Linked DNA regions of Oryza sativa Japonica Group. The protein of the gene in region 3 binds, or shares a complex with, the protein of the main gene of each other region. Links are inferred from orthologs where the notes say so. Each region holds a gene or a part of one and is shown on either strand. Other genes may lie near its edges. The genes, in order: protein TIC 20-v, chloroplastic; protein TIC 22, chloroplastic; protein TIC110, chloroplastic.

What was found.
Region 1: protein TIC110, chloroplastic (region 3) and protein TIC 20-v, chloroplastic share a complex: the UniProt entries of both Arabidopsis thaliana proteins name them as parts of the tic complex. The link is inferred for Oryza sativa Japonica Group from reciprocal best matches to the Arabidopsis thaliana genes TIC110 and Tic20-V.
Region 2: protein TIC110, chloroplastic (region 3) and protein TIC 22, chloroplastic share a complex: the UniProt entries of both Arabidopsis thaliana proteins name them as parts of the tic complex. The link is inferred for Oryza sativa Japonica Group from reciprocal best matches to the Arabidopsis thaliana genes TIC110 and Tic22-IV.

Annotation. Positions count from the first base shown.
Region 1 is NC_089036.1:30,721,739-30,725,702, forward strand, and holds protein TIC 20-v, chloroplastic, read left to right. Parts: upstream 1-1,806; 5' UTR 1,807-2,029; coding exon 2,030-2,713; 3' UTR 2,714-3,124; downstream 3,125-3,964. Other genes in the region: rhamnogalacturonan I rhamnosyltransferase 1, read left to right, coding at 1-90; transcription factor BIM2, read right to left, coding at 3,203-3,259, 3,359-3,479, 3,563-3,710, 3,798-3,964. UniProt on the Arabidopsis thaliana protein: May be involved in protein precursor import into chloroplasts. Not redundant with TIC20-I, TIC20-II or TIC20-IV.
Region 2 is NC_089040.1:5,941,631-5,945,952, reverse strand, and holds the start of protein TIC 22, chloroplastic, read left to right. Parts: upstream 1-1,701; 5' UTR 1,702-1,879; coding exon 1,880-2,320; intron 2,321-2,405; coding exon 2,406-2,468; intron 2,469-2,906; coding exon 2,907-2,981; intron 2,982-3,737; coding exon 3,738-3,782; intron 3,783-4,322. Other genes in the region: uncharacterized protein, read left to right, coding at 1-106. UniProt on the Arabidopsis thaliana protein: Involved in protein precursor import into chloroplasts. Imported into the intermembrane space via the Toc translocon. May be involved in the import pathway used by proteins without a cleavable N-terminal pre-sequence.
Region 3 is NC_089044.1:19,363,726-19,368,047, reverse strand, and holds the start of protein TIC110, chloroplastic, read left to right. Parts: upstream 1-1,255; 5' UTR 1,256-1,459; coding exon 1,460-1,983; intron 1,984-2,527; coding exon 2,528-2,587; intron 2,588-3,782; coding exon 3,783-3,906; intron 3,907-4,024; coding exon 4,025-4,093; intron 4,094-4,176; coding exon 4,177-4,275; intron 4,276-4,322. UniProt on the Arabidopsis thaliana protein: Involved in protein precursor import into chloroplasts. Forms a voltage-dependent cation-selective channel at the inner envelope of chloroplasts, which specifically responds to a transit peptide.

The DNA.
Region 1 (3,964 bases), on a different chromosome or scaffold from region 3:
GTGATTCATGACAAACCGAAGGAAGAGGACTACTTCTATGCTAACCCTCAAGAGTGCTTGCGAGATCCCAATCTTTTACGGACATCATGATATTTTTAATAGCGCAATTGCGCGAGTATACTTATTACCATTACACGTTTACAGCATAGCTGAACTTGTTTCTTCCGAGCTGACTCAAATGGCTCGGCATTTTCAGTTCAGAACTTCAGGTTGGGCCATTGACAAGGGAGTTTGGATGGAAGCTGAAAGAAAGGATGATACAATTGTGAGCTTGTGACTACTTAACTCAAATGTAGTTGGTACATAGACGTTACATGTTGGGGAATTGGGGATGTTAGGTTTCCTAATTACGCCGATTAAGAGAAGATATTCATGTATAGATGGGGGCGGGTTAGTGGATAAGTTAGTTCAACAGAACGTTACCGATCATGGTTCATGAAGGAAATTGTTATATATCAGGTTTTTCATACTTTGTGCAGACATTACTGCTCTTGCATCTTGAATTTCTCTCCGTCTCCTGAAGTTTTACCATGTAGTACTACCAACTGTTTCAGCAGTCTGAACAGATGCTGCTGGTTGTTGGGTGTATATATGCTCTGATTGTGTATTATAGAACACCAGAATGCACGGTGATGTATCATTTTTTTTACCACGGCTGTGCTGTGGTGGTGTATCGAAGTAATACATGCCTCTACTTGTTAACGTGCGAGTCAGTGCATCTTGTTTTCAGTGGCGATTAAGATAGGATTAGCACTGATCCAAGAGCGACCCAGCAGTTAAGTGGTCTTGTCCTACTCGTTATCGTCTCATCGATCGTTGGAGCACTCAGCTCGAAATGCAGTGAACCACCGCGAGAATAGCCGCTAGAGATGCGCGCGAATCTGGCACGGAGCGCGCGGCCGAGCCGAGCCGAGCCCATCCCACAGTGCACGGGGTTGAGTGCCTCGTCGTCTCCACTTCGTTGCCGATCTCTACTCGTCAACGCGCGCGAGGGACTCGACGTGCAACCGATCCCTAGGCGATCGCTCTGCTAGACTGCTACGTTCGAGCTCGTGCATATGCGCCTGGTTTTGTGCGATGGATTGGAGGATTAACGTTGACGCAAGAGCCATCTTGGGATCGAGTTTAATTTAATTTTACTAGTGCTCCATTCGACGGGAAACGTGCCAGTAGGAGGCAATGGGGATGAGATTGATGAATTTTCATATGGCAGTATGAGGCAATGGTAGATCCGCAAGCTGCATAGCTCGTGTAATTAGTAAACCATGCTGGTAGATTTGTAGTCTGCTTTTGTGCTAGTGAAGCAGTCAGTCAGGTAACTCTCGGGTGTGGAACGGAGGGAAGATTAACGTGCCACGCTGCTGCAGGCTGCAGCTGTTCTCCCCTTTCTTTTACAGGACCATCCAAATCCATTAAACGAAAATCACACATTATTACAGTTCGTACAACGAAAATCACTCCATTTCCTTGTGTGTGTCAGATCGCTGCCAGCCAATTGTCAAGTGCCAACGGCTGAACGACACACTACGGGCATTACGGGCCGCGCGCGCGGAGTTCAGCTTGAGAGGCGTACAACGCCTTAGCCCATTACGAAATCGCGATGCATATGGTACGACGAAAGCCTGGTAGCCCACGCAGGAAAACCGGCAAAACGCGTCTCAGACGAGGCCCAAACAGTACGCCTGATCCTTTCGGCCCAGTGAACAGCACGGCGCCGCAAGCTTTGGCCCATCTAATGCTCTTCCTGCCTGCCGCGGCGCCCTCGCCGTTGCCCTCCCGCACCAGGCACCACCAACCAATCTCCTCGTCTCCCACTCGGCCACATGCCCCACATCCCACCGAAATCTGGAAAAATCTCCACGCTCCCAACCCCGCTTCGCCTTCGCCCCGGTGGCCGCAGCCGCGCGGCGCCACTGCCCCCCAACCAGCCAAACTCCCCCACCTCACGGCACTGCACCCGCAAAAATCTCAGCTCCCACCCGCCGCGCCGCGCCGCGCCGCGCTGCTCCCCCAACCAAATCCCTTCTCCATGGCATCCGCCGTTTCGCTCCTCCTCCTCTCGTCCCCGCGCCCGCTCCGCCGCGCGGCGCCGGTGCCAGCGCTACGCTCCCAGGCGCGCCACCCCTTGCTCCTCGGCCACGCGGGCGAGACCGCGCTCGGGGTATGGGCCACGCGCGCCCGCCTGCCCGCGCCGCCGCCGCGCGCCTCCAACCCGAACAACGACAACGACAACAGCGGCGCCGTGGAGGCGCCCGACCGCCTGGTGGCCGCCGTCGCCTACCTCTACCCGTTCCTCGACGGCGTGCACCACGGCCGCTTCCTCCTCGCGCAGTTCCCGCTCTTCAGCACCCTGCTCAGCCCGCTCGCGCCGGCCGCGCGCCTCTTCCGCTCCTCCCCGCTCACGCCCTTCCTCCTCTTCCTCACCCTCTACTTCGCCGTCGTGCGCAACCAGCAGGCCTTCTCCCGCTTCGTCCGCTTCAACGCCATGCAGGCCGTCGCGCTCGACGTGCTGCTCATCTTCCCCGACCTCCTCGTGCAGTCCTTCGCGCCCTCCACCGGTGGCGGGATCGGCTTCGAGCTCTTCCAGAGTATGGAGAGCACCGTGTTCCTCTTCCTGCTCGTCTGCCTAGTCTACGGCGGGGGCGCGTGCCTGCTAGGGAAGACGCCGCGGCTGCCAATCGTCGCAGATGCAGCCGAGCGCCAGGTGATGTGATGAGCTTTTGTCAAATCTTGCTGGTGAAAAGGAACAAAGGAAAATGATATACACATCCATCTCGATGCCTCATTGATGTTAGTAGATCGCAAATTCACAAGTTCAGTTTAGTACAGTGATTATTTACAGCTGTAGTAACCAATTTAATGAATGGAGTTACGGAAGGTTGGTACAATGGCATTACAAAATTTACAATCAAGTGTATGAACGAATGAGTTGAATTGGGAATTTTTAGAGATAGCAATACATATACTCGCTATAGAATATGGAATTCTGGACTACATTTACAGATGATGAATGAGAAATTGGGGAGTGTCCTCAAGACCTCCCCTGAAGGAGCTTCAATGGTATATGAATGGATGCTTAGGTTAGTTAATTGTTGTTGCAATATAAATAAAATAATTGCATCAATTGGGGATTGTGGTTGCTGCTACCAAGTTATTGTCTGAACTTGATGATGTCTGAATTTTCTAGTTTGGAGAAAAAGTTCTAGCTTTTATTGCACCGCCTCTTGGTTATTTGGATGGGCTCTTCATCTTCATTGATCTGTGATGTGAAGTCAGGACAAAGGTACAAAATAATTATTAAGCAGACGATCTATATGTTCAAACATCATGAATAAATCAACTTTGTAAAGCTCTATACCTTTGAGTTGTCACTAGTATTATCTCTTGCTCGTTTGGCCAGGTTGATCTCTACAGCTATATTAGCTTGAGATGGATCTAGTCCTGACTTTTTAAGAGCTTCTGTCAATCTGTTGAATAATCTGTTGCAAATTGAAGTAGTATCCTGTTAGTTACATATTGTGCTAACTTTAGTCTTGAAGTAACAAATGGTTAAGGAACAGACCCTTGAGAGTAAGCGCTAGAAATACTATGGTTTTCATCGTGAAGGGTCTGTTTCTCATGCTTGTTCGGCATTTTGTTGCCTGGTTCAGACTCTTGGCGCATTGTTGACATGCTCAGCCATGGTGGCTGATTGCTGGGTGTGCTGTTCTCTGCGTTTAAAAGACATTAAAGTTAGTGGATCTAGTTCTTAATTACAAGAATTCTGACTGTTGAAAGGTGATAAGAAATGGACTTACTTTCCAAATTTTGTGGTGTGCCTGTTGCCATGTGGGAGGAACTGGTGGTTGTACTGGTTACACTCTGTGTGTTGAAGAGAGCAGGTTGTGCTGCCGATATGTGCTTGGGACCGTACTGTTCGTTGTTCATGTCCTGTGTGGATGGTGACAAATCTTCCCCCTGGACT
Region 2 (4,322 bases), on a different chromosome or scaffold from region 3:
CCGCGACGGCGCCGTCGCCGGCGACGACGAGGTCGCCACGCTCTTCGCCTTCGCGCAGAGGCACCTCAACGTCAAGATCGCCGAGCTCGGCGCCTCCTACTACTGAATTAATTAACCTCCCTCTCTCTCATACTGTGATCGACAAGTGTGCGTGATCAGGATCGATGTACGTACGTAACTGTGTGAGATTGCGCGCTGTGCTGTGTATGTTTGTGTTTTTGCACATCTTTTGTGTTGACTTGATTTTGGTCTCGGAGATTCCACTCTCTATTTTTACTCTCGTTTCATCGATCACTGCGGGATTTGGAGAAATTATGTGTGATCTTTGTCGATCTCTTTAGGCCCCAATTTAAACTGACCATCGATAGCTTACTAACAAAGGGGAATTCAATTGGTGTTTGGTAAAGGCTATACTAGTATAGATTTTTAGAGGTTAAAAAAGTAAGATAATATCTAAAACGCAATCGATGATTGAGAAAATGGTTACTTACACTAATCATTAGTTAATAGGGCCAAGATAATTTAGGCACCACAATGGACAATTTAATGATTTGGCACTTTATTAGTCCGCAGTACTTTAATTGTATTGGTATTTATAAGGATGCTATATAATATCATAATGAGTCAATGATAATAATGGCTAAGTATGTTTGCGAAAGCGCATGTAGCATAGTTGTTACAAGAGTCTCAGTAGCACCTTAGGTCCTGGGTTTGACTCCCCATGGAAGCAAACTTTTCAGCATTTAACGGCTTTGTGCTTTCAGTGGTAGGCGACGTACCCGTCGACAACGAGGCGCCCGTGGTGATTTCGTCAATCTCCAGGATGCATTTGCCGGCCCAGTCTTCGAAGATGCTCATAGGGGTAAGGTTTGCGTGCGTGCGTTCATACTCATTTGAACAGTCCTCATATTTGCCTCATCTGTAAAGCTACTTGCTGGATCTGAGGGCTTTCAAGGAGACTGATTAATTTGTTTGGACTGAAAAACAACAACCGTTGGATGGTAGATGGACAGTGCACGCACATGATGTTACGTTGTAGCTCGATCCGATCCACGTCCCGTCCTCTTCCTTTGCACGCTGGCCAGCACATGATGTGTAGAGGTAGAGAGACGGTAGTCACCCACTTACCCTTAGATCTCTGTTTTTCTGAGGGCTTTTCAAGAAGTAGACTGATTAATTTGGGCTTTTTAAGAAGGAGACTGATTAATTTGTTTGGACTGAAGGCAAGAGAAACAACAGCCATTGGATGATAGATGGACAGTGCACGCACCTGACGTTACGTCGTAGCTCGATCCGATCCACGTCCCCTCCTCTTCCTTTGTGCTCCCTCCCCGTGCCGCCTGTGCCTCCACGACGATGAGGTGCCAATGCGGCAAGCAATTGGACCTCCACCTAAGCAAGGCAAGCCGCGCTGGCCAGCACATGATACGTAGAGGTACAGAGACGGTAGTCACCCACTCACCCTTGGATCTCTGTTCTTCCCCAGACAGCGTGCGCGGAGTTGAAAAATTTAGGGGCGAATAATTCCAATTCTATTGGTGATGCTCTTAGAAGCTAATTTCATCCTCCATATTGTAAGTTGTAACTAAACATATTTTCACTGAAAAAAATTGATAATTGAGCTTAACATATTTTCACTGAAAAAAAAAATGATAATGGATTGGCCGAAGCAAAACCCCCCGACCAAACCCAACCAAGGCCACACCAGTTGCAGTGCAGCACGACTCCACGAGGCCAGACGGTGCGGCTCGACCGAATCCGCACGCCGCCCGCGGCCCGCTCCTCGGCGACGCCGAGCAACACGACACCTCCGCGCGCCGCCATCCAAGTCGTCCGTCGCGTCGCGTGCCGAAAACCCAGCAGCAACCAGCCAACCACGATGCCGCCGCCGCCGCCGAACTCCTCCTCCTCCTCCTCCTCCTCCTCCTCCCTCCCGCTCGCCGCCGCCCCGATGTCCAACCCGTCGGCCCCCTCCTCCTCCTCCTCCTCCTCGTCGCTGCCCCCCAACCCCCTCGCCGCGGCCTCCTCCTTCCTCCACCACCACCTCTCCCGCCTCGCGTCCCGCTTCGCCGCGCCGCCGCGCCCAGCCCTCGCTGCTGTGACGGCGTCGGCGGCGCCCCCGGGGCCGCAGGGCGCCTCCGCCTCCCTCTCCCTCGCGCTCGCGCCCGACGAGGTCGCGCGCGCGCTCACCGGCACCCCCGTCTTCACCGTCTGCAACTCCAGCAACGAGTTCGTGCTCGTCTCCGACCCCGCCACCGGCCTCCGCTCCCTCGGCCTCCTCTGCTTCCGCTCCGAGGACGCCGACGCTCTCCTCACCCACGTATCCTCATCTTCCCATCTGTTATGCCTTTTGCTGTTTGATTTGTTCTTTTCGCCCTAATGGTTTGGGAGTTTGTGTGGTTTAGGTGAGGATGCGGCAGCCGGTGGTAGGGAGAGGGGCAAAAGTGGTGCCGATTACGCTTGATCAGGTGGGATTAAATCGATATTTTGTGATCAATTTTGTCATCACTCTTCTAGGACCAACTCTGCATAGGAAGAGTTATGGAGCATTTGGGTTTATGCAAGAGTTAAATAGGGACATACAGTTGTATGATAATTTAGTAACTGAATGACATATTAACGAGTAGCAAAGTGGGACCTGGATTTCTTCCAAGAGCAAATCAAGGAAAGCTGCCGTTTCTTATGTGCTGCCCCTTTTACCTAGCTTAGTCTATCTTTTCTTACAACACCCATGCTTTTCTTGCATATTCATGCTTGAGGGTTCTTGGGCTTAGGCTAGCCTCGTTGCAACTTCACTCGTTTCTACTTCATTCAATACAACTAGTATATTGCTTACATTTAACTATGCTGATTATTTTTTATGTTTTACAATGTAAATATACCTTAAGCCGTCCTTCTAAATGCAGGTTTACATGTTGAAGGCTGAAGGTATTGCATTTCGGTTCTTACCTGACCCTCTTCAAATTAAGAATGCGTTGGAGGTTAGTTCTTCTCTGGATTTGTGGCTCTTTGCTCCATCTTATCTATAAGTGGATATGTTTAGTACGCCCATCTGGCCATCATTCTATCTCACTAGAAAAGTGGAATTCAGTTCCTCAGGTTGACAGCATTACTCCTTAAAAGCATCAATGCAGCCATTGCATCTTCCAAAATTCCAATGGACTCCTTATATACCAATTTTACTCCCATTTAATGTTTTTAACTATTTACCAACAGTCCGAGATCTTTGCAGTTTGGGTATGTGTGTACCTATTTTCTGTATCACCACTCAAGACTTTACACATGGACTTGGTTCCTTGTATATATTATTGGTAGAGAAGTTGTACTGTCACTAATCATTGCCTTCACCAGAATGCACAAATGATATGCATACACTAGACAGATGCACGCAGAACACATGGAGTGCTGTCACATGTCAGCCTATTTCATAAGGAGAAAGTCCCTTCCTTGCAAAAGAAAAAAAAACATATGGGAAGGTGGCATTTTAAAATATAGATAATCTGTATTGTTTTTCCTGTTTCTTGGTGTGGACTGTCCACATTCAGTGGTTAGACTTCAGAGTATATCATGGAATGTACAACTCATGCCTTTTCACTCATGAATCATGAGTATATCAGAGCTGACGTCTTAACAGTGTATAGTATGTAGATTATTGCTATCTTATGCATTGTTTCACTAATGTAAGAATGCTAACAAACTTACTTCAGCCCAGTGACGATTATCCTTCGTTTTTTCAGTTAAAATCTGGCTTAACTGCTTTTGATGGTGTTCCTGTTTTCCAGGTAATACTCATGTCTGTATTATTTACTGAAAAATATACTTTTATGGAAAGCATTGAGACATACCCTTTGCGATTATTAAATGTATTTTAGAATATTAACAATAAATGTATTAAAGTTGATTTGCTGATTAATATCTTGACTCAGTATAAATTACTCGTGAACTTAATATTACCAAAGTGCATGGACTAATAGGTAGGTTCTGAAGCTATCTGCTTGTTCCTGTTAGTTATTAGCCCATGCCTATTTATTAAATGTAAATGCATGAACTGTCCTGTCATAATTTCTCGTTATTTGTCACATGTGTGCATCATTTTGTGAAGCTTTAGCCTTATCTTATTGGCACGACTTGTTGTACTAAAATAGGACTAGAAGATAAACGGATAGTCAAAAATTTTCAATTGAAAGTTTAGGCGTGCAGTAGTCTAAACCTTTTCATGGAATATCAGATCTTCTGATGTTTCGATTGTCATAGAACAAGGGAAGCCCTGATTTTCTTATCAAGGAAAAAACTGAAGTACACAGCTTTAGGTCCATCAACGC
Region 3 (4,322 bases):
AAATATCGCAATCACATGAAATGTGTTATGGACACTTATAATAGACATCGAAAATGACTTCTGAGAACAAAACAAATTGTAGAAAAGCAATGCTATGCACGACATCTATATATATACATCCCATTCAACATCGTGTGTGAGAGGTCATAATTGCGAGCCTAATTTTTCTATTAAATTTCACATCTTTTAACCAAATGTTTCAAATACTACTGTAACATTTGAATGTTGAGAATGACGTGTAATAAGTAGCCATCATATGAATGATTGCTCATGTACGACATAGGATAAACTCATCTAACATACGTCTAATTGTGATCGAAATAAACCCCATATACAATACGTATTTACCACTATTTATCTCTCCTAGAAATCACCATATTATTCACAGGCCACCATTTATAGATGTGCAAGCTAAACTCTCTCTCACCACCACCACCTCCGTCGTTCCCGCTTGTCCCTCCAGATGCGTTATTGTTTACATATTATTTTTCATCTCGTATGATGAATTTACTTTCACACTATTATATTTTTCTCACCCTTAATGACTTTATTGTAGAGATTGACAGTATGTAACCTTCTGCTCCCCTTTGTTTTCACCGTAGTCTAACAAGCTAGTGCCCAATATTGACAATCATAATTACCTCCTTCTAAGAAGAAGAAGATAATCGCATAAAACAACCATCAATACAATTTTAGAAGTATAAGTAACCGAGTAATCCTGACTAGGAGTTTGGTTTCGTGGTCTTATTGGTGGAAAACATCACACACCTCCTCTCTCTCTCTCTCTCGTATTTCTTTTAGTGTGTCTCACGTGTCTTTTGGGGTGACTCCCATGTATTCACTCTATTTATTCCGTGTAAGTTCATTTGATGTAATATATTTATGTGAGCAATTCATTCCTCGGTGATCCGTCTAAAAAATACTCCCTCCGTTTCAGGTTATAAGACTTTCTAGCATTGCCCACATTCATATAGATGTTAGTGAAACGGAGGAAGTATAACAACTGAATAATTTGGATGGTTCCTATTTATTTTTCGTGGGAGAAACGCATTCCACAATACCAATACCAACAACCAGTATACTTGTGTAGCCCTGTTCATGTGAGATGCAATGCATGCATACAGTATACGATACACCGGACGCCATCACCTGGCGACAACCCGCTCTCCCGGTGCACCGCACGTCTACCGCTGGTCGCAGGCGCCCACCCAACCCCAACCCTTCCCTTTGGTCCAGCCGCCCCTGCCCCGACCTCACCAATCCCCGCCTCGTAACGCTATCCCATCTCCTCCTCCTCCACCTCGCCTCTTCCGCCTCATCCACCACCACCTCCTCCCCCCCACCACCCGTCGCCACCCTTCGCCGCCGCCGCCGACGAGGACCACCACCACCACGACGGTGGAGTAGCCGCCCGCGAACACCGAGGCGGCAGGGGATCCATCATCCCACGACAACGACCATGGAGCTCGCCCTGGCCTCCGCGAAGCCCTCGCCCTCGCCCGCGCCCGCGCCCCTCCTCTTCGCGCCGCTCAAGCCCCTCCCCCTCCTCCGCTTCCCTCCCCGGAGACCCCGCGCCTCCTCTTCCTCCGTGGGGGCGAGGCTCCGCGCTGGGAGGCGCGGGCTGAGGCTGCTGTGCCGCGCGGCGGTGGGGGCGGGGGAGGAGGTGTTCGGGCCGAGGAGGGAGCTGGCGGGGGTGCAGCCGCTGGTGGAGGCGCTGCCGCCCGCGGCGAGGACGGCGGCGGAGCTGGCGGTGGCCGCGGCGGCGGTGGCGGCGGGGTACGGCATCGGGCTCCGCGCGGGTGGGGGGTCGAGGGCCGTGGCGGTCGCGGGCGCCGCGGTGCTCGGGGCGGCCAGCGTCGCCGGGGCCGCCGCGGTGAACTCCGTCGTGCCGGAGGTCGCCGCCGTCGGGCTGCACAACTACGTCGCCGGATGCGACGACCCCACCAAGCTGGAGAGCGGCGAGGTGGAGGCCCTCGCGACCAAGTGAGTCGTCTCGATTGCTCGACTATATTGTAGGTGTGCTGCATTGGCCGTATGGCCCGTATGCTCGATTCGATTATATATCAGATGTCTTGACTCCCACCCTGCAATGTGATCTGTATTTTCCTTCCAATTTATGCGCCCTCCTAGCATTTACTCATTTATTTTTGAAGCTCCCATTTGTTTTCGGAATGCTAGTAAAATTTTGGTGTAGCTTGTTTCAGCGAATAAGGAACCTATAATTATTTCGATAATACATTTGATCGGCTAAAATTACCTTTAGGGATGGGACATATAGTTATATTTTTGCACTAAAATGTTTAAGGAAAAGGCTATACGTACTACATTTTTCTTATTAAACTCTCTTTACACTAATGTGTCATGTTATGAGTTCATCTACATTTCCTATAACTCCTATCTAGTTAAATCAAACAGCTGATATCATTTTGTGTAAGAATTTTTAAGTATGTGCAGCAGTGCTCAATGTAACATTGCCCCCACCCACACACACAGAAGCAAAAAGTCTTACCTGTTTATTTTGTTTCAGATATGGAGTTAGTACACAGGACGCAGCCTTCAAAGCAGAGCTCTGTGATTTGTATGCCAGGTGATCCTCTTGGCACCTGTTGTCCAGTTGTTTCCAATGCTTTATTTGAATGTTGGTAAAGAATGTCCATACGGAAATGGCCTCTAAGCCTAACTGTATTTATGACACTAATTCTGTTGTGTTCTATGTGTTGAATTTGGCTCAAGTGCCCTTATTATAGCTATTGTTTTCTCCTAGACACAAGTATTTGTTCTTGGATGTTTCCCCTCTCTTCTCTTAATATTCACCCGTCCCAAAGTATGGTGTTATTTTGCAGTTTTTAGTTGTCGATATGCAATTTGAGCTTCAACCATTACATCCAGTAATTTATATTATTATATACCTTGAAATATACAAAGAACAGCTAAAATATTACGTAAAATAATATTTACTAATATCATTTTTATTGCCAATCTATCAATGCGGACATCTCGATATATATATATATATATATATATATATATATATATATATATATATATATATATATATATATATATATATATATATATATATATATATATATATATATATATATATATATATATATATATATATATATATATATATATATATATATAGTAAATTTGTTTGGTGCTCCATGGTGCCCGGGCACCATTGTTGAAATTGAGTATATACCCAATTCAAATGAGTATGAAACTTTTTCAATTACTTAGGTATTAACATTAACTACTTTACTAACTAGTTCAAAGCATGTTTGTACTGAATTTGAACTTGTTTTTGTTAGATTTTGATTCTAGGTATATAGCATCCATACATATAATTAGTTAGGTATGTAATCATGGATTGTGAAATAAAGTTAAATTTGAGTTGTTTTGTTGATAGGTATAGATATGAATCGAATTATTATAACTAGGTATATACTCACAATTTGAAAATTTTGAAAAATTTGAGTGATTTTGTACATTAGATACCATGGTGCCCGGGCACCATGGTGCCCCATATGAGTGTCCTATATATAGTATATATATATATTTTGTTCCAATCACATTTCACATACCACAGTTTTGTATGTATGTGCTCAGACGTAGTTGCTTCTTTTGGCAAGCTCTTGTACATTACTCAGTAGCTAAACTAGATTCTTCTAAAATCAATCTTTAAAAATCTACCATTTATTGGTTGCATCTTATTGTTTTGGTCATGCAGTGTATATAGGAAGTGTCTTTGCTCCATCTTACCTCCATTTTATTTCCAGGTTTCTTTACTCAGTACTTCCTCCAGGAGATGAAGATCTCAAAGGTGATGAGGTTCAGACCATTATAAAATTTAAAAATGCTCTTGGGCTCGATGATGTAGATGCTGCAAATATGCACATGGAGGTATTGCCTCATGATCCAAGCCCCTTTATATCTTACTTGCCTGAGACGTTCTTCCTACTTTAGTGCCATTTTCACATTTCCTCCATTACTCCTTATGCCTTCGACTTTGCTTGTATAGATTGGTAGGCGCATATACAGAGAAAGGCTGGAAACAAGGGACCGGGATGCCGACATGGAACAGCGGCGGGTACGTTTTTGTGCTGTGATACATAAATGGATGTTTAAAACTTTCTACTGCCCCTGATGATAACTATTGTAAATATTTTGCAGGCATTTCAAAAACTCATATATGTATCAAATCTTGTCTTTGGGGATGCATCAACATTCCTGCTTCCATGGAAACGTCTTTTTGGGGTCACTGATTCTCAGGTATTTTATTATGAAATAGTCATCACCCATTTAAACTGTGCATAGCA